Mus musculus: one gene and its partners. The protein of the gene in region 2 interacts with the protein of the main gene of each other region in a biochemical or structural test. Links are inferred from orthologs where the notes say so. Each region holds a gene or a part of one and is shown on either strand. Other genes may lie near its edges. The genes, in order: Slc22a12, Pdzk1 and Slc15a5.

What was found.
Region 1: the proteins of Pdzk1 (region 2) and Slc22a12 form a complex in vitro, tested with the Homo sapiens proteins (2 studies listed by BioGRID and IntAct, with this or other methods). The link is inferred for Mus musculus from reciprocal best matches to the Homo sapiens genes PDZK1 and SLC22A12.
Region 3: the proteins of Pdzk1 (region 2) and Slc15a5 interact in a test that uses a peptide from one of them, tested with the Homo sapiens proteins (2 studies listed by IntAct, with this or other methods). The link is inferred for Mus musculus from reciprocal best matches to the Homo sapiens genes PDZK1 and SLC15A5.

What each region holds. Positions count from the first base shown.
Region 1 is NC_000085.6:6,538,395-6,545,313, forward strand, and holds the start of Slc22a12 (solute carrier family 22 member 12), read right to left. Parts: upstream 4,677-6,919; 5' UTR 4,359-4,676; coding exon 3,957-4,358; intron 2,770-3,956; coding exon 2,666-2,769; intron 2,336-2,665; coding exon 2,181-2,335; intron 2,104-2,180; coding exon 1,935-2,103; intron 406-1,934; coding exon 282-405; intron 139-281; coding exon 23-138; intron 1-22. UniProt on the Homo sapiens protein: Electroneutral antiporter that translocates urate across the apical membrane of proximal tubular cells in exchange for monovalent organic or inorganic anions. Involved in renal reabsorption of urate and helps maintaining blood levels of uric acid.
Region 2 is NC_000069.6:96,866,525-96,873,205, reverse strand, and holds the end of Pdzk1 (Na(+)/H(+) exchange regulatory cofactor NHE-RF3), read right to left. Parts: intron 4,909-6,681; exon of another isoform or gene 4,899-4,908; coding exon 4,674-4,898; exon of another isoform or gene 4,266-4,673; coding exon 3,975-4,265; exon of another isoform or gene 3,097-3,974; coding exon 3,043-3,096; 3' UTR 2,280-3,042; downstream 1-2,279. Other genes in the region: Gpr89 (Golgi pH regulator), read left to right, coding at 664-729, 1,612-1,818. UniProt on the Homo sapiens protein: A scaffold protein that connects plasma membrane proteins and regulatory components, regulating their surface expression in epithelial cells apical domains.
Region 3 is NC_000072.6:137,980,823-137,986,968, forward strand, and holds the end of Slc15a5 (solute carrier family 15 member 5), read right to left. Parts: intron 3,676-6,146; coding exon 3,528-3,675; 3' UTR 2,768-3,527; downstream 1-2,767. UniProt on the Homo sapiens protein: Proton oligopeptide cotransporter.

The DNA of each region.
Region 1 (6,919 bases), on a different chromosome or scaffold from region 2:
TCTTAGGTAGAAGGGCATCTACCAGCACAGCATGGAGATGATGGTTCGGTGGCGCAGCCCAGGTGTGTGGAGTAGAGTGCCCAGACTGGCACCAGCTTTGTCCCTGCTTGGTTCCTCCTCCATAGCTGACCGCAGCACCTGTAAGAATAGGGGCTGTTAGCACCAGGTACCCATAGACCCACCCCCAGGGGCTTTTACTTGACCTCCGAGGCAGCTCCTGTACAAAGCCAGAAAAAGTATCTAAGGGGACAGGGTTGAGGGAAGGCCTAGCCCTGGCTTACCTCCATGGTCAACGTGTCTCCCTCTGCCTTCCTCCTGTTGACAGCAGCTACCCTCTGTAGTTCCTGCAGGCCCTGGTCCAGCTTGCCTACCGTGATGAGCCAGCGTGCCGATTCTGGTAGCCACCTGAAGGGAAGGGATGTGGGAAGGGTCGCTGATTGCAGCCTCCATTGCCTGGCCTGGGTCACCCTCCTTGTACTTCTGTGTCTTCTGCCTAAGGGGGTGGTTTCAGGGGGGATTGGAAGCTCTGGTCTCAGGCTGCTAAAGTCAGTGGAGGCCATAAAGGACAATGAGACCATGGTGGCATGTGTATCCAGGGCACCTGGGTTACCACCTGTACCAGCAGGTGGTCCTCCTGCCTCCTTCCTCTCTGAGTTTAGGGGAGTCCAATATTCTCTATCCCTGGGCAGGCTGCCGGATACGGAGGAACTCTGTTGTCCCTTTCCAACTTCTTGTCCTATGGCTTCTCCTTAGCCTTACCCATGAGCCAGGTCTGTGTACAGTAAGGACCACAATGGCTGCGGGGGGGTGTCTCGCCATCATGGCATCTTTCGATGCCATATACATTTCCTCCTGCCCTGCCCCACAGTTGTATTGTCTTCCTGCTACAGACAGCTTCCCCAGCCCTGCCTGGTCTCAGGCTAGGCCTGGTGTCTGTAACATCACCAAGCTCCTTCTGTCTGAACCCCTGGCAACCACTGATCCTTGAACCCTTTGGCCCCATGATACCTGATTGTTCCCCTGGAGCCAACTCAGCTGGTTCTGTTTCAGGATATCGATGCTCCATACCAACTTGCTTTTCTCTGTCTCAGAATCAAACCTCTCTCTGTCTCTGTGTCTCTCTTTGTTTTTCTCTGTGTGTCTGTCTGTCTGTCTCTCTCTGTCTCCCTGTCTCTCTCTGTCTCTGTCTCTCTCCCCTCTCTCTTTCACATACACACAGACACACACAAACTCACTTGCTGCACTAAACTGCTCAGTCCTCTGAGCCTTTGGTAGTGGCCACCACACACTATATCCAAGTCTATGTTTATAAAAGTTCCTCCCCTGCAGAAGGACATGCTGTTCCCTTTGAGCAGCCATGGGGAGGAGCCATCTGTTTATACCCCTGGGACTCTGAGCACCTCTGATTTTGAAAGACGGCGGAGGGTAAGGGAATGAGATTGCAGACAGAGTGGTGATTCTCAGTGGCCTGTTGGGCTAAGGAAACAGTGGAGGGGCGAAAGGCATCCTGGGAAGCAGGCGAAGGAGTTAGGGGTAGGAGTCAGGCAGGTAGTTGGAGATCTGAGGCTGGAGATAGGAATCAAGCTGGGGGTCAGGGGGGGAGGGGGAGAAGGTTGGGCAAGGGTGGGATGAGACAGGGTAAAGCAGAGATCTGGGGTCTGCAGCATGCCAAAGGGGCTGAAGCTAGACCCCTCCTGGGAGAGGGAACATGGACTGTGGCCCCAGTTTGCTGCTGGGCCACAGAAAGATGGCATCTGGCTTGTTTCAGGTAAGTTGGAACAGGGGCTCCTGGACTTTGGGCAGCAGTGGTGACCATCTTGAGGGCCTTGGTCCCCAGAACTCCTAGACCCTTTGTCGGCAGGAAAAGGAGTTTTCCATCGTTATCCCCGAGAGTGGGCAGAACTTCTTTCAAGGAGGGGGGCTGCAGCACCCACCATGAATAAACAAAGAAGAGGAAGAAGGGGGCAGAGACAGCCAGCTGTAGCATCCTCCAGCTGCGCACACCATAGGCCACAGAACCTGTCAGGACCTGCCCAAAGCTGAAGCCCAAGGCGTTCAAGGTCATCACCAAAGGGCTACCCTGGGCTGATGTCCACTCCATCACTGCAAGGAGCAAGAAAGGGGTCAATTCTGGGTCCTGCATGCAGCCTTCCCGACCCAGCACCAATCAGGGGACATACAGAGACTGGCTGTGTTCATCATGACACCTGCCACTGCAGAGGCCAGCAGGAAACGAAACAGGCAGTAGAGGGGGAAGGTGGGCATGAAGGCAGCTGCTGTGCCGGACACGGACACCAGAAGATAGCTCCAGGTCAGCACCCTTCTGCGCCCAAACCTGTGGTACACATAGGAAGACATGCCATTGGCCAGCAACACAGATCTGGGCCACCAAGGGCCCTCCTGTCCCTGCCCCCAGTGAGGAGGAAGGTAGAAAGTCACATGACCCATGTGAGGGCCATGGACATGAGGAGCGTTAGCAAGTGAATTCCCCCTTAGCAGAGGCAGGAAGCAACAGCTCAAGTGTGTGGCAGAGAGAATTTTAGGAATGAATATTCAGAGCGAAGCAGTGGCCCCACAATCCCGGAGAAAGTAGGGGAACTTCTAATTTGGAAAGGATGTGGGGTTCACTCAGTAGAGACCGCCTGGCCCAGCGGGGAACACTCACCTATCTGAGGCATGGCCACACACTGCGGCTCCTACCAGGATTCCAGCCAGGAAGATGGACTGGGCCATGGGTCTCAGGGCCTGGGAGTTACATACCAGGTCCCACTGGAGGGAAAGAGGGGCAGAGCTGTGATCAGGAGGGGCATGGCCTGGGCTGTGTGGGGCCACGAGGGCGCCCACAGGCTTAGTGGCTTGGTTTCTTAAGGAGTATCCTGTCAGCCCTATACTGCGTCAAAGGTGGAGAGCCTCCAGCTTCATCTGCTCCCTCTTGAGCCTTGGCCCGTAGCTGAGGAGCCTTCCCTTCGCTGGAGGCTTACTTCCTCTTGCTCCTCATGCAGGGTCCTTCCTGCTTGCTGGGGCAGCTGGCCCTCTCCACTGGCTTCCCCTCCCTCACCTCTCTTTTGGTTTTTCATCTCAAGACAGAGTTCCCCTGCCTGGCTGTCTTAGAACTCACTCTGTAGACCAGGCTGGCCTCAAACTCAGATCCTCCTGTCTTTGTCTTCTGAGTGCTGGGATTAAACATACACCACCACCACCTGGCTCCTCGTCTTCACATGCACGTGCGTGTGCGTGTGAGTGTGCGTGTGTGTGTGTGTGCGAGAGAGAGAGTGTGTGTGCGTGCATGCCTTTCCATGGTGTAGTGCTTGTGAGGGTCAGAGTTCAATCTCTGGAGCTGTCTACACTGTTTTTGTGAAGAGGTCCTTCAGTGACCCTGGGGCTCACTGGCTAGGCTGGCTAGCCAGCTAGAGCTGAGCCCCAGGGGCTCCCTTGTTTCTGCCTCTCCAGAGCTGGCATTACAGTCCCACCACCACTGAGCCTGGCTTTTCCCCCCAAATGCTGGAGAGCTGAACTCAAGTCTTCATGCTTCAACAACAGACAGTTTGCGGATTTATCTCCCCAGCCTGCCAACATCTCTTATAAGAGGCCAATGTTTGTTCAGGTCCTCTGTGCTCAGCCCAGAGACAGACGACAGGATCCTGTGTCTAGGTGGCCTGGAGTCATGGCAGAGGTTCAACTATGGGTAAAGCCATCGGGTGATGTAGAAACAGGAATGGTACCCCAGGCCAGGCTGTGTGGACATACCTCACTGTGTGGCCCAGGTTGGCCTCAGACTCAGGAATCCTCCTGTCTCTTTAGAGATGGGGTCATAGGCATGAACCACTAACTATGACCTTGCAGATGACTCCCGCTGCCCAGTCCCCTGCAAGCCTACATGGCTGCTCCCAAGTGAGGAGGCTTGGGGAGGTGCATCCTTTCTGTGACTGTGACTTTGACCTCCCAGGTGCTGTTACCGTGGTCACGATTGTGGACCTGAAGGTGCTGTGGTCGTAAACCCAGCCATCCTCGCATGGCTCAGTGGCAGCGTCACTCCAGTTGGTGGCCGTGGCGTTGGACTCTGTAAGCTGCCATTGAGGTTGTCGGAAGCGGAGGCACTGGTGGGGTTGCTGGTCAGGACCAGGTGGGATGGAGACGGCCAGAAGAACATCGGGTCCAAGGTCCCCAGGGATACTCGCCTGGGAGGTGCTATTGTCCAGGAGAGGCACCCAACAGCGGTGGTGGGGAACTGCGGCTGAGAAGTTCTCCAGCATGTTCTGGGTGGTGACCCACAAAATGGGGGTCACCAGAGCCACCGTCTGGAAGAGCTGGAACCTGCCCAGCCCCCCCACTCGGTCCAGGAGTTCAGGAAAGGCCATGGGTTTCTCCTGGGTACCACCACGCAGCTTCCACTTCACAGAGGCTGGCCCAGGACCATGGGGTCTTTGTGATGAGCCTGCTTTCCCCTTGGCTCTGACCACACCAGTCTCTTCATATGCATGTCACACAGCCATGTTGCTGAGTCACAGCCAGTCAAGGCTCTTGTGTATCTGCCTGCTGGCTGTCACCATGAGACCTGGAACCCTCTGTGGTAATCTGGAGGCCATGGGAACCTCTCAGCGACACAGCAGAGTCTGGCTCTCAGGAAAAACCAAATTTGAGAAGCAAGGAGGGTGGAGAGAGAAGTCACTCTGGGTAGAATTAAAGTGTGACTAGGAGCCATTTAATAGAAGAGGGTTTAGTAATCATTTCTTCAAAGTTTAACCAGGACAACACCACTGCAGATGAAAGCGGCAGTTTCTCCCACCACCCCGCCCCCATCTTCATGGCCCTGGTTTCTGTTAGGATGCGGCAAGATCTGGACACGGGCTCTGCCACTAAGTGTGTTGGGGCCGCCATCCTTCGGTGCTCCTGCCTGCCTTCCAGGAGACATCATGACTGTACTGTGAGCTAACCCAGGAGAGAGAGGGTGAGCCCTGGTCCTCCCAACCTCAGAGCTGGCCTGATCCTAGCTTGAGTGATGGCGTCCTCTGCTTGAGGATGGTGTGTCACTCAGTCTCTAGGCCTCATTAGCCTTTTGAAGCTGCCACTGTTCCTGCACTCCCTTATTGATTCCCTGTACTGAGCCTCATTAAGCCCTTTTGACATTAGCATATGCCCCTGTACTCTTCAAGACAAATATCCTAAAGTATTGAGACCTCTGTCTCTTTCCCAGGTCTCCTTGTCTTAGGACCCACTTCTTTAGCCTGTAATTACATGGCCCTCTGCCTGGAACGGAGTCACAGTTCACAGGCTGGCAACTCAGCCTCTAGTGTCTCTAAGCCGACTAATTCTGAGGACTTCCCCCTTTGCCTCTGCTCTGCTCTGTCGCCTCCCTGACCTGTCTCCTTCTGCCGCCCCTTTCACCTACTGCCACACTGCAAAGCCTTACACTAAATCCTGCCTTCAACGCCAGGGCCCTGGCCCTCTAGAAGAAGAGCAAATGCTTGACCAGGAGGCGTCTCTCCAGCAGTTCGACTTCCATTTGTAAGATTCCTGGCTCCTGGGAGGGGGAAAGCCTGACAAAGGGGAAAGTGTCCCCAGGAAGCCATGGGAGTGACTGGACAGAACCGATAATGAGGGCTGTGTAGAGGCGGGAGGAGTCTGTGGGCACCAGAGGTACTGACTGGTTTGGGTTCAAGGTAGTTTTGAGAGTAGAAGAGGAAACGCTGTGATCAGGTGGCAGATGATGGGATAGAGATGTCCGTACGATTCCTGACACAGACGTTCTTTTAAAATAAAAGTATTTGGTGTGTGTGTGTGTGTGTGTGTGTGTGTGGCTTGTGTATTTGAGTACAAGTGCCCACAGAGGCCAGAAGAGGGGCATCTGACTCCCTGGAGCTGGAGCTGGCGTTACAGGCAGCTGTGAGCTATAGGATGTGGGTGCTGGAAGCTGAACACTTGTCCTCTGGAAGGGCTGCAGGACATGATCAGCTTCTGAGCCATGTCTCCAGTCCAGAACCTTTTTTCTTAATTGTGTAAAGTCCCAGGTTGCTACTGATGGGTGGGTGGCTGTCCTCCAAGGGGAGTCTGGGATTGCAGTCCCATTGTGTGTGTACCCCTGCAGCTGTCACTGGAAGGCACTGGCCTCATGTGTCAGCCGCTGGAGTGTAGGCTTAGATTTTTCAAAACCTAATTTGATTAATGTTCTTTAACACACCAACCTCCCTTCTAGCCCACCTACCAGAGGTAGAGGAAGAGAAGGGTTAATAGGAAATGGGCTTGTGGATCTCTGTAGAAGTAGTTCTTTGGGGGAGATACAATGCAGTCATTGTTGTCAGGATATCAGCGGTTCAGTCCACTATCAAAACACCAGACACAAATCAGCAGTGGGAGTTCAGTCCTCTCAACAAGCACCGAACACGAGTCAGTAGCAGCAGCAGTTCAATCCAGAAGAAACCGAGAGGCTCTGCTGAGCCGCAGGAGCCCACAGACGCCGCTGGAATGTCATGAGAAGTTCTTTGGCAAGTTACCCTCTATGAAGCCACAGCAAGCGAAGATCAGCCACGTGGTGCGAGGCGAACCAATATAAGAGCTTTGCCACACTATCTGTGGGGTCATAGTTATATTCTTTCTAAACATCACGCATTCCCTCACATGTCTGCTTCAGCGAAACATCACGTGACATAACTGAGTCCCCAAAGAAACCAGAGCTTTCCATTTCAATGGTGGGCAAGAGAGGGTGGTGGCCCCTGAGCTGAAGGTGACACACAGTAATTCTGTCCTCAGTTTAGTGGTAGGAGCTAGTTAAGGCCGCCTCTAGACAGTCGTGGGTGGGTGGAGACGTGATTCCAGCTCTACACTGAGAAGCAAAAAAGAGGATCTGTGGACAGTGAGCTGTTATCACTCTAGGGCTAATAGGTCATTAGTGTTTGCTTTAGAGAAGACAGTATAGCTCACT
Region 2 (6,681 bases):
TAGGAAAAAAATGAAGCCGGGTGTGGTGGCACACACCTTTAATCCCAGCACTTGGGAGGCAGAGGCAGGCGGATTTCTGAGTTCGAGGCCAGCCTGGTCTACAGCGTGAGTTCCAGGACAGCCAGGGCTACACAGAAAAAACCCTGTCTTGAAAAAACAAAAAACAAAAAAAGAAAGAAAAAAATGACTGAGATGGACATTCAAGGTTCCAGTGATTGTAAACCACAGAGAGGAAGACAATGGAAGTGGAGGACAGAGCATGCAGCTCTTTCTTTGCAGCATAAACCAGGTCATGTGGTGATGAAAAGTGGGTCCTCCCTTGTGATCCAGACACTGAAAGGAAAGAGATAGGGAGGGAAGAACTCGGACCCCTTGACAGCTGCAGGTGCCTGGAGTGCTCCCAGATTGCTGGTCAGTGTTGTGGTGATGCCGGGCGGGGCGTTACAGCTTCTGAAACTCAACAGCCAAGGTTCCCTTGTTGAGTCAGATGAAACCACCAACTATCTGGGGAAACTGGTTTGTGTTGTATTTGAAGGCCCTCTCTGTAGCCTTGCCTCCCGAGCCTGCTGTACTTTTTGTGCCACGAAAGAGGGTGGCTGCAGCACATTGTCATGAGCAGAGCCTACTGCACCACTGCGCTCATCTCTCTCCCTTCCTCCACAGTTCTTTTATGCCATCTCCAGCAGCAAGTCCTCCAACGTCATCGTCCTGCTGTTAGCGCAGATAATGGTAAGTTTATTGACTGCCTTTGTGTCTACAGTTGTTGAGTGCCCAAAATGTGATTTTGTTGGGGAGGGTTTTTGTTAAAACAAAGTCTACGTGGTCCATATTGGCTTCAAATAATCTATGTAAAGAAGGGTGGCCTTGAACTCCTGATCTGTCTCTGAAGTGCTGAGACTTCAAGCATGCATGCACCACTACATACAGCTTAGAAATGCTTGGGGTTTGGTTTTTGTTTTCTTTGGGGAAAGAGAGGGGTTATGTGTTTATGTGTATACATGTGAATCCAGTTGCCCATTGACTCTCAAAGAGGGTATCTGATCCCAATGAATGTTCTGGGAACCAAAGTTGGGTTATCTACAAAAACAGTACGTGCACATGTAACTACTGAGCCAGTTCTCCAGCCCAGGAAAAAAAATTAAATGGTTTAAGTTGGGCCCATACAATGGCTTGCTCTGTGGCTGCTAAAGGTGGTAGCCTCCAGGCCTGATGACCTGTGTTCAGTACCCAGACCCACATGGTAGAGGAGTGAACCAACCCTGGCAAATTAACCTCTGACTACACACACACTGAAGAAGATGCACGCCAATACACCTATGTGCACAAATAATTTAAGAAATGTTATGTGTATCGGTGTTTTGCTTACTTGTATGTATATAAACCAGGTGTGTGCCTGATGCCATAGAGGCTGGAAGAGGGTGTTAGACCCCTGGGACTAGAGGTACAGGTGGTGTGAGCCACCATGGGCTGCTAGGAATCAAGCCCATGATGAAAACGTAGTCAGCCTTAACTACTGTGCTCTCTTTCCAGCCCCAATAAATAACTTAAAGTTTGCACTGGCTTGCCCCTCAAAACAGAGTAACTTCTGAATTACTTGGCTCGACTTTGCAGGGTATGTACTTCGTGTCCTCTGTACTGCTGATCCGAATGAGCATGCCCCCGGAGTACCGCACCATAATCACAGAGGTCCTCGGGGAGCTTCAGTTCAACTTCTATCACCGTTGGTTTGATGTCATCTTCCTGGTCAGTGCCCTCTCCAGCATATTGTTCCTCTATCTGGCTCACAAACAGGCACCAGAGAAGCATATGGCCCCCTGAACTCAGACTCCCTGCCAACTTCAGGAAAGGAGACACAGTGGGGAGACCAGAGCCTACAGCTCTTTACACAGGCAGAGCTGCGAGTTCTGTTCTGCCTCAGGCACACGCCTACTTCCTCCTGAGATACTGGAGTCACTTCGACTGAGGCACAAGAAGAAAACCCGCAGCATTCAGCAGGGAGCCGCATGGATCTGAGGCTGTGCAGTGAGGAGGAGAGGGCCAGAGCATGAGGATACCCCGGAAATCCTGACTACACGGCTTCCCTCGAAAATGCTAGTAAAGTCAGTTTGTAACACTCTGGCCTTGGGGTCACTTGTCCAGCACAGCTTGGTGTTATGCTATTGTGGTCTGACGTGAAATGCATCTCTCCCCTCACCCAACTTTACCCCGTAAAAATAACCAAAAGGTTGTTTCTTCTTTTCTGAGAAAGGGGTGATAGGCAACAGATAGATTTTACCAAATAGATTTTAGGTATACCAATCTTTATTTCCTCTTAAATTAGAGAAGAGTGAATGTTCCGTGCTAATCCAGCAGTGGCTGGCTCGGGTTGGCTTTCCCTCTGCCTCAGCGCTGGAGGTAGACGTTAACTGGAACAAGCCCTTTCCTGTTCTGAAACATAAGCCCTCCGACAGTAAAAGGAAGGTGTTGAGGTTTTTTTTTAATACTCAAATGTAACATAAGAAAATGCTGAAGTATATTTCCTGGAAGCCTCCCTTTATTACTAAGACCACAGTGTGTATTTTGCATGTTTTGGGCTTCTGGAAGCAAATGAGAAAGCATGAAATGTTTGTATGGAACAAAGACACTATTCGGATTCTATTAGCCAACAGGGAAGTTGCAAACAACTCAGAAGCACTTAGCAATGCTGCTCAGCCACAGCATTGCTACAAAAGCACACTTCTATAACAGGCATCTGCTTGATTCTTTAATTAGCAGCGCTCACATGGACAGTGAATCATCCCAGGTGCTCAAGCCTGCAGAAGGAAGAGGTCTCATCAACAGAAGTGAAAAGTTGCACTTTGGAAGATACCACATAGAAAGACCCTGAACCTGGTCCCTCCTCTGGCTAAGTTGAGCTTAAATAAGCAACCTGCAGTAGCAGCCCTTACAACAACAGACAGTCTGGGGGACAGATGGTCCAGAGGAGGTCTGACGGGGTCGGCAGGGCTCATTCCTCGGAGAGGCAGTTCCTGGGCCCTCAAGAGGAAGCATCATTTGTTCTCTTCACATCTCCGTGTCTTCAGAGTTAGACGAAGAGTGCGAGGCTGTGCTGAGAGTCTGTGCAAAGGAAAAAGACAAGGGTTTACTGCAGCAGGAAAGAGCAAGGCTGATCTAGAGCTGGCATGCCTTAAGTCAGAGAGCCAGGCACCTCTAGATGTAATCCGAATCTTCACTTGACTTGCTTCCAGATTACTGTTTAACACAAACAAGTTTCTCATTGTCTGTGTATATACCAACATACACATAGACCATCAGTTTTCTATAAGGCCAGATTAGTACTATAATTGGCATGACCTATCAGCAGTATTAAATACAGTAGAAAACTATAGTGACTTTTCATAGGAGGCCTGATTCCTATAAATCTCCTTCTATGAATTTGGATGTCAGTTTACTTTTGAAACTCAAATTTATCCATGAAGAGAAAATTGACCAGAAAAAAATTCTTCTGACAAAAATAATTGTAATTCCTGACACTTACTAAACATGGAGTCTAAGCCTCTCTCTCTGTTTTTACTTACTGTGAGCCAGGCACAGTTTAAACACTTCTGAAAACAACTGTACACATTGTCCATGTTTTATAAGTCGGAAATCTGGAGCACAGAGCCAGGAACTGGTCCTGCGTAATCAGGTCAGGTTCTTCGGTGGTCTCCATGATTTTGATAAACTGATTTCACTTACTAACTGCCAACTGCATGCTAAAAAAATAATGACACACCACAAGCCTGGCACTCAGGAGGCTAAGACAAGAGGATTGCAAGTTCTACACCAGCCTGGGCTCCACAGTGAGGCCACATTTCTAAGAAGACAATAAATTTGTCCTCATAATGCCTCCTTTGTCACAAAACCCTGGCAGGTTGGCCACCCTGTGTCACTGGGAAGCATAGGCATGAGGCACTGGCTGGGGACTACCCCAGGGAAGCAGGGCCACCACTCACTCGGTCTTTTGCTGGGTGGGCGTCATGCTCGGACTCCGCAGACGTCTCTCCTTTTTCATCAGGGCCAGCCACCAGGGGCTCGGCCATGGAGGAAACGATGGGGATTTTCTTAGCTTGGAAGTAGCTGTAGGCCATCTTTCCACAGACCAACAGAGTGACGTGCTTCCCGCTGCTCTTGATTCTCTCCACCACTCTGTCGTAGGGTTCCTCTTGCACGTTCTCCCCGTTCACTTCGATGATGACGTCCTCATTCTCCAGCCCAGCCTTGTCAGCAGGGCCACCCTGCTGTACCTGTGAACAGAGGTTCTGAGTCGGTTCCAAGCATGGAAGAAGGCGTGCCGGGCAGCTTCCCTCCTGAACAGCCTCAACACTTGTTAACTGCGCTCCTTTATGGCCTATACACCCTGAACTCCACTGGGCTCAGCCACACTGGCAAAGCACTGCACTGAACATGTGCTGGGCTGAAGGCATCACGCCCCCATCTTAGGATCCCAACTTGGAAGCTACAGGGTGGTCTCATTGCTCTCCCCTACAGGGTTCAGGCACCGTGCACATCCACAGCAGTGGGCAAGGAGCACTCTCAGAGGCGGACTTCCAAGTGTGACCACTGTTAGTGTCACGGAGACTTGTGGCTTGCACTGAAAAAAAAATCCCATCCTAATTGGCTGTTTGCTGAGCTGTCAGAACTAGTCACCATACCTCTTTGACAAAGGAGCCAGGCTGACCCCGAATGGCATTCAGGTGAAAGCCGTAGCTATCGTCCTCTTTAAGCAGCCTGCAGAGCTTGGGCTTGTGACCCTCCGCGTCCTCTGTGGGCTCTGAGCCTGTGGCCTCCAGAGGAGCAGGGATCGGAGCTGGGCCTTCCTTGACAGAACCATTAGGCAGTTCTTGACTTTGGCAGTAAAGAAGTGGAGAGAACCGAGCCTTTGGAAAATAAAGGGGAAAAAATATACATCTGAGCAATTACACGTCACTGAATGTCATGGCTTAATACACAGGGTGTCTCACATGTATGCTCCTCCTCAACAGGAGGAGGGGAGAGTCTAAAGTTTCTTTCCTACTGCCAGAGAAGGTAGAAACGTGCACAGACACATACATGTGCATAACAGAAACAGTGCACAGTTCTGCACCAGACCCCAGAGCTGTCTCATGGTGTTACAAGCTTTTCCCCACAAAGGCAGGCAGGACACTGCGCACTGTCTACACTCCCCTTTGGGAGACACCTTTGAGGGACTACCCCAAGGCCCTGTTCTCCCTGCCCTTCAGTACTAAAGGACAAAACATTTTTGTGATGAGTTTTGTGAGAACCAGCTCTACACACTGATAATGAGAGAGGTGCCCATACGGTGGCACAAGTGAATCCCATCCCCCAGCTTCCGTCTCCCAGGGCTGCTGTTTAATGATCTTGGCACCTCTCGTGGCGGGCTTCCCCCTGTCTGTAAGTATGCTTGGTCCTCTCATTTTCACAGCCAAGGCCGTGTAGGAAGCAATGGCGGCCGTGACAGAGACAGAACGCCAAGCTTAACTCGTTTGTTTTTTATTCTTTTTATATATATATATTTTGTATTTTTATTAGATATTTTCTTTATATATATTTTAAATGCTATCCCAAAAGTTCCCTATACCCTCCACCTGCCCTGCTCCCCTACACCCACTCCCGCTTCTTGGCCCTGGCATTCCCCTGTACGGGGGCATATAAAATTTGCAATACCAAGGGGCCTCTCTTCCCAGTGATGGCCAACTAGGCCATCTTCTGCTACATATGTAGCTAGAGACAGGAGCTCTGGGGGTACTGGTTAGTTCATATTGTTGTTCCACCTATAGGGTTGCAGACCTCTTCAGCTCCTTGGGTACTTTCTCTAGCTTCTCCATTGGGGGCCCTGTGTTCCATCTTTTTTTTTTTAATAAGATTTATTTATTATTATAAAGAACACTGTAGCTGTCTTCAGGCGCGCCAGAAGAGGGCATCAGAACTTATTACGGGGTTTGTGAGCCACCATGTGGTTGCTGGAATTTGAACTCAGGACCTTTGGAAGAGCAGTCACTGCTCTTACACACTGAGCCATCTCAACAGCCTCCTGTGTTCCATCTTATAAATGACTGTGAGCATCCACTTCTATATTTGCCAGTCACTGGCATAGCCTCATATGAAACAGCTATAACAAGGTCCCTTCAGCAAAATCTTTCTGGCATATGCAAATAGTGTCTGGGTTTAATGGCTGATTATGGGATGTATCCCCGGGTGGGGTATTCTCTAGATAGTCCATCCTTTCCTCTTAGCTCCAAACTTTGTCTCTGTAACACCTTTCATGGGTATTTTGTTCCCTATTCTAAGGAGGAACGAAGTATCCACCCATTGGTCTTCCCTATTCTTGATTTTCTTGTGTTTTGCAAATTGTATCTTGGGTGTTCTATGTTTCTGGGCTAATATCCACTTATCAGTGAGTACATATCTAATGACTTCTTTTGTGATTGGGTTACCTCACTAAGGATGATATCCTCCAGATACATCCATTTGCCCAATAATTTCATAATCCATTGTTTTTAATAGCTGAGTAGTACTCCATTGTGTAAATGTACCACATTTTCTGTATCCATTCTTCTGTTGAGGGACATCTGGGTTCTTTCCAGCTTCTGGCTATTATAAATAAGGTTGCTATGAACATAGTGGAGCATGTGTTCTTATTACCAGTTGCAACTTCTTCTA
Region 3 (6,146 bases), on a different chromosome or scaffold from region 2:
ACAGCTCACAGTCTCTTGTTGGAAGACTTCCCTGAGACTATCTAAAAGCCTAGGGTCACTCTGATTGCTAAGTAAGCAAACATACTAAGAAATGGGACAGCACTGTGCAAGTCTCACCAGAATCTTCACAATTACCCATCATTCAAAGTGCCTTTCTTTAAGGCTGTTCAGAACCAGCGTAGTACTAACATCCAGATGGTTTTAATGACAGAGCTGAAAGGACACTTCTGAGTGAGGTCCCTGCTCCCACTGTGGTCCCAAGAATCTTTCAGTGGGGTGCACCTGACTATAGGGTCCACACGAGGGCAGTGTAAGGATCCATAGTACGTTCTGACAGAGGAAAATGTTTTGTCACAATCTCTGCCCCTGATGTGATTATTCTTCTCCTTCTTGTTCGAATTTGACAGTGGAGAGTGCTTCACCCACGTGGGCTGAGCTAATGTTGGTGATATCAAGTGTTGTTTGTGAAGGCAGCCCCTGCCACCCTTAAGAACAACAGTATAGTTGTCTGCGGAAATGACTGTTTCTGAAACTCTGCTCAAAATTTGTTTTTATTTATTCATTTATATGTATGTGTGTATGTATGTATGTATGCATATGTGATATTTGTTTGTGTGTGTGTGTCTGTGTGGTGTGCATGTACACTTGTGTACTCTGTTAAATAATAAAAATACTTTAAAAGTTAATGCGGGTGGTATACGCTTGTGTTTGTGTCTGCGCATGCCCATGCACACAGAGCAAGAGGAGGAGGATGCTGGAAGTCTTGTCTTATCATTCTCCCATGTATTCCCTTGAGACAGAGTCTCTCACTGAAGCTGAAGCTTACCTACCTAGTCAGCTATGCTGGCGGGACAAGCAGGGAACACCCTGATCTGCTTGTCTCCGCCCATCAACGCTGAGCATGTGTGGTCAGGCCAAACGTTTTTCTTTTGGGTTCTGGGAGTCATACTCATATTCTCACAGTATGTGCTCTTACCTATTGATCATTCTCCAGAGTTCCACAAAGTGCTGGGAATTCCAGGTTGGTAATGATGGGATGAATGCCAGAATTCAGAGTATCAAAGTGGGGATACTACAGACAAGGAAGTCAGCCAAGTAGAGAGATATAATAAGGGGAAATGGCCAAAGAGCCTGGGAGAAAAATCTACCCTCTTCCAGATCCTAGTTATTATTTTTTTTTCTTCAGACACTGTGGTTGTTGTTTTCCTGTTAAGAAACAAGGCAATATGTTGGGAAAACTTTATTGTTAAACTTGTATAATGAAAACACATGTAAAGATTGTTTGTGTATAGGCACAATGTCTGAATTAGGGCTTCACCGAATTCTTGTCAGGGAAAAAGAGAAAGATGTCTCTGTCATTAGCTGACAGAACCAGCTGGGGTCAGACCTGTGGGCTCATGGGTCACAGAAAACATTTTCCAAGCCCTCCATTCAAGTTTCAGTCTTGAACAGAAATCCAGCGTAAGGGGGCTTTTTAGGGAAGACTGGCTTCTGTCCGCCGCCTTTCAGCCGCTTTGTGAGCTGGAGAGAGTGAGCGGCTGGGAGAGGCCCTCGGAGGAAGCGGCTGGAACCTATGATATGCTGCAGGGACACAGGACTTCGCTGCCAGTGAGCACATTATGAGAGAAATACAGTACGGAACGCAGCGGGTTTCTGCAAACAAGGCATCCCTTTAAGTTAATTGGTGTTATATAGAAGCTGAAACGCTCCGCTTATTTACAAAGCTCCAGATTTATGTAAAGCAAAACCAATTACACTTAATGCCTAAACTACTCCAGGTGCTCAGAGATAATGTCGCCAGGCACTAGAGAAGAAACTGCCGTGTGAATGCACCCTGTTCCCAACCGAAGCGTCTGTAGTTACTGCAATTTAGCTAATCACAAGTGTCAACGCCAACCTGCGAGTTCTCAGCTCTTCTGCTGCTTGCTTTGGGTCAATTTTATAATTTCTGATGTTCTTTCATCGCAAAGGAAGAGCGAGAGTGTAATGAACACCTTTTTTTTCCCTCCCCATTACAATGTAGAAATTAAGGAGATGAAGGGACATTTGGGGAAGGGCCAAAGTCGTCCCGGTCCTTTTCTAACAGCCAGAGCACGCTGTGGCTTTTCATTTACACCAAGATGAGGCGTTTGGAACTTTCTTGATCTTCGGGATGTTCATTATGAGACCAATGCGCTAGATACTGCATTAATGAGGCTCCTTTGGGGTGTTCATTAAGCCCAAAACTGCAAGCTTGGCATTTAACCTTTCACAGCGAGGAAAGTTGTAAGAGCAGCAGGCTCAGCCCCACTGTTTTGCCAGGGAATTGTGCAAAACAACGAATAAGTTGTGGGGAAGAATTTCTGCCTATAGAGCTGACTTTATAAACTTGTCCTCCAAACAAAGGAACACATAGCAAGTAGCTGGAATAAGAAAAACGCCTGGGGTTTGACTGCGCTTAGAGCATTTAAAAATGCACATTGTAACCTAATCAAGTTACAATTGGCTACATTTCTTACTCCATGGCTCTAAACATTGGACAGATCAGCAAGAGAGGCATTCAATCACAGTCTCTTGGAATGAACAGTTAAAAAAAATGCTCTTGCCCAATCTAGCCTGGTTCTGGAGAGGAAGTCAAGGAAGGGTGCTGGGAGAACCTTTAAAGTCTGGGCGGCAGTATGGAAGAACTTAGGGTAGCGTCAACAAGACATGCAGTTTGGGGAGAAGACAGAGTCGCCTAAAATAGGAGGCTGAAAACCAAACTTTGTCACATACTGAGGCAAATTGTGATAAAGAGATGACAGGACATTAACTTTATTCAATAATAATAATAATAATAACAACAACAACAATAATAATAATAATAATAATTGTATGGCCTAGAGAGGCATCTGTCTGTATTTCCACTTCTTTGATCATCCTCTGCTACATAGTTAAGTTTGAGGGCAGCCTGGGCTCTATGAGATCTTGTCCCAAACCTGATAAGACCAAATAAAACCAAACCAAACGACCTCTATTTTAGTAACATTGCTTTTAAATTCTGAAGAAAGTTTCTTAATCAAGATATATTTTAGTAGAATGCCAAGGTCAAATATAGCAGAATTCTATACACATTTATTATCTAAACATCATATTACTTATGGTTTATAATACCTAGAATGCAATAAAGCCTTAGTGAATATACAGAAAGAAGAAGTAGAAGCATATTGTTTCTTAGCTTCTAATGACATTAAAATTATAAATAAATCTTTCATATCACCTTCAACTGCTGAACCACTGTAATGATTATACAATATGATTGACACGCTAACATGGAAAATGATTGTTTCCGGTCACAGAGTAATCACCAAGACTTTAAAATCGCTTTATTAGTTCAAGAGCATAATATATCATTAAAAGTCATCATAGTTTATTGGAAGGATCATAATTATTCATTGTAAATAAAGTACACTCTTCTTTATGTTGACTTTCCCAGTGAAACGTATGAAGTATTCGATTGAAGAAGAAAATAGTGGATAACGGGTCTCACAAGAGAATCAAATCCAGTTTCAGAGGGCTGTCTCCCAAAGATCAATACTTGAAGATGCTCCCTGTGTACTGCCATAAAACTTCAGAGACTTCTCAGTGAGGAGAAGAGTTTCTTCACAACGATTTCCACGGATGCGCTGGGCATTAAAATGATTTAGATTACAATATCTGAGAGAGAGAGAGAGAGAGAGAGAGAGAGAGAGAGAGAGAGAGAGAGAGAAAGAAAGCTTTCCTTAGGAGCAGATGTAGATGACTTGATAAATCACGGGCTTCCCTCCCTTGCTTGCCTACCTTTTATGATGGGATCGTAGATACTGGCACCGGAGAGATGATTATTTAAGAGGCTCACCCGGGCAGTCTTTGTACAAGGACAGGAGAGTGCTACCTAGGGCAGAGTAAGGCTCCCCTAAGGCCCTTTAGATGGTGCTCTCTTATTAAGACGAGGTCGTGCCGTGTGGCCCAAGCTCTCTCAGGACTCGATATGTAGTCTAGGCTTGTTTGAACTGGGGGGGATTCTCTGGTTCTAGCCTCTTAATTGATGGGCTTGTAGGATAAGTACACACCATCACGGCCAGCAGGATGGTGCTCTCCTATGAACACCGGTGAGTCTGTTCTGTACTGTCAGCGAAAGAAACCCGGAAATTGTATTGGCTGTGGATCCCATGGCTGCTTGGACCGTGATTTATCTGATAAAAGCTTATCAGATGTGTTATCAATAGTACTGTACTATACTGTATCAGACATCCCATGATGTTGGTGCTAAGATCATTGTTAAAGAGAGAATACTTGGCCACATTTTAAAAATGTTTACCCATTAAAAAATGTCTACTCCAATGTCTTCTCAGACCATGCTACCCTGAGAGGGAGGGATTGTTCCCGTTTTACAGACTAGAAAACTAAAGTTCGAATGTAAATCAATGTCCTTATGGCATACAAAGGACTCAGACAGTACTAGACCTTCTTCCAAACCAAACCTGCTCTGGTGCTTAGTCCCTTGACTTTGCTTGCTCTCACCCCTGTTGTGGTCATTTTTATTCTTGACCACTTCCTTTCCACCCACCCTAAGCTCTTGCTCAATAACCGCAGATCTTCGACTATTTTAGATTGGACACTGATCTTGAATCCCTTTGTACTAATGAAGTTCCTTGGTTCAGTTCGTCTCTTTGGTGCCTGGAACGGTGCTTAACAGGTTGGCTGACTGCATGCATGCATAAGGAGCTGATGAATTTGGATTCCAAGTAAGACTTACTTGAACTCAATCATACTTATAGTCCACTAGACCTAGTCTTGACATAAGTATAAGAGAAGAATAAAGCAGAAGAGAGTGGGTGTGTAAGGCCAAATTGGTAGGCACATTTAGTATTGCTAGTATTCTTGTGTATTTACTCAACTTCAAGCAACCTTGGGATACAGTAAGAGATGAAGACACCAACGCCTAGCTAGGTTAAGGGGTGTGCTTGTGCTTATACTGTCTACTTATACATGATGGAACAGAGCTCGCCAGCTTGGACTCTGAAGATAGCCTTTGTGAAGGACATAGGCTAATTCTTACAGAAAGATCATAACGTAATAACTGGAGAGCTTATAGCAAGGCGGTGGTGCCGCACACATTTAATTCCAGCACTTGGGAAGCAGAGGCAGGCAGATCTCTGTGAGTTCGAGGCCAGCCTGATCAGAGTGAGTTCCAGGACAGCCACAGCCACAGCCACAGAGAAAAAACAAAATGAAACAAAACATTTTCTTTACCAAAAAAAGAGAGACAGACTGTACAGGGGCTTTGGGGAAAAGAGTCAGGGGCTGGAAGGAAAAGAGCACACGTCTTCAACTTCTGTTTTCATGGCTGAATCTGTTTGCTACAAAGCTGAGGAAATCCCCGTTGGACATCCTGAAAGACTCTCTGATTTTCTAGTTTCATTCACAATCTAAGGGCCTGGCATTTAGAGAGATTACAGATTGTTGGAGAGACGCAGGATTTGTATGCTGCTAAGGGTAAGAGAGACTCATATTGAAGGGACTACTTGAGTTTTAGGTCTGGTACTTATCCATTCCTACTTTCTGAGATTCAGTATTTCCCATAATGGTGCAGCAGCTCATAGATATCAGGGCCATAGGATAACACTGAGCACAAGTTAAGTTCTGACTCAACAAGCTTTGGGTTTGCCACACCCATCTGTCACCTGGATGCTGACCCAAAAGACAGAAGCATACAAGACTGGTTTGGGCAAGGGAGAGGTGGCAGTGAGTGGGTCGATCTGTGGGTAAACGCATTGGGTAAATGGAGCCAGGTGAGGGCAATAAAACTAATTCCTGTGATGTAGCTCACATGGAGAGTCGATCTTTCAGAGTTCCATCCCTTAAAACCAGCTGTTGATACACTGTTGTGATTGACATGCACAAAGACTGTGACAGTTAGACAGTTTGCTCTCCGCATATAGCTAGTGTAGGTCAGAAAGAGAGAAGAGAAAGGCAAGGCGATGGTACACAAGCACCCGACTCATGGAGCTTCTCTGGCAAACAGGCATTGAGTGAATGAAAACCGTTTCCATGATCAGAGTCTTTTGCACTGGCAAATTGTAAGACACGTGAGGTTGTGCACAAGGAAGATGACATTACATTATTTTGACAACTTAGGTCAGTGT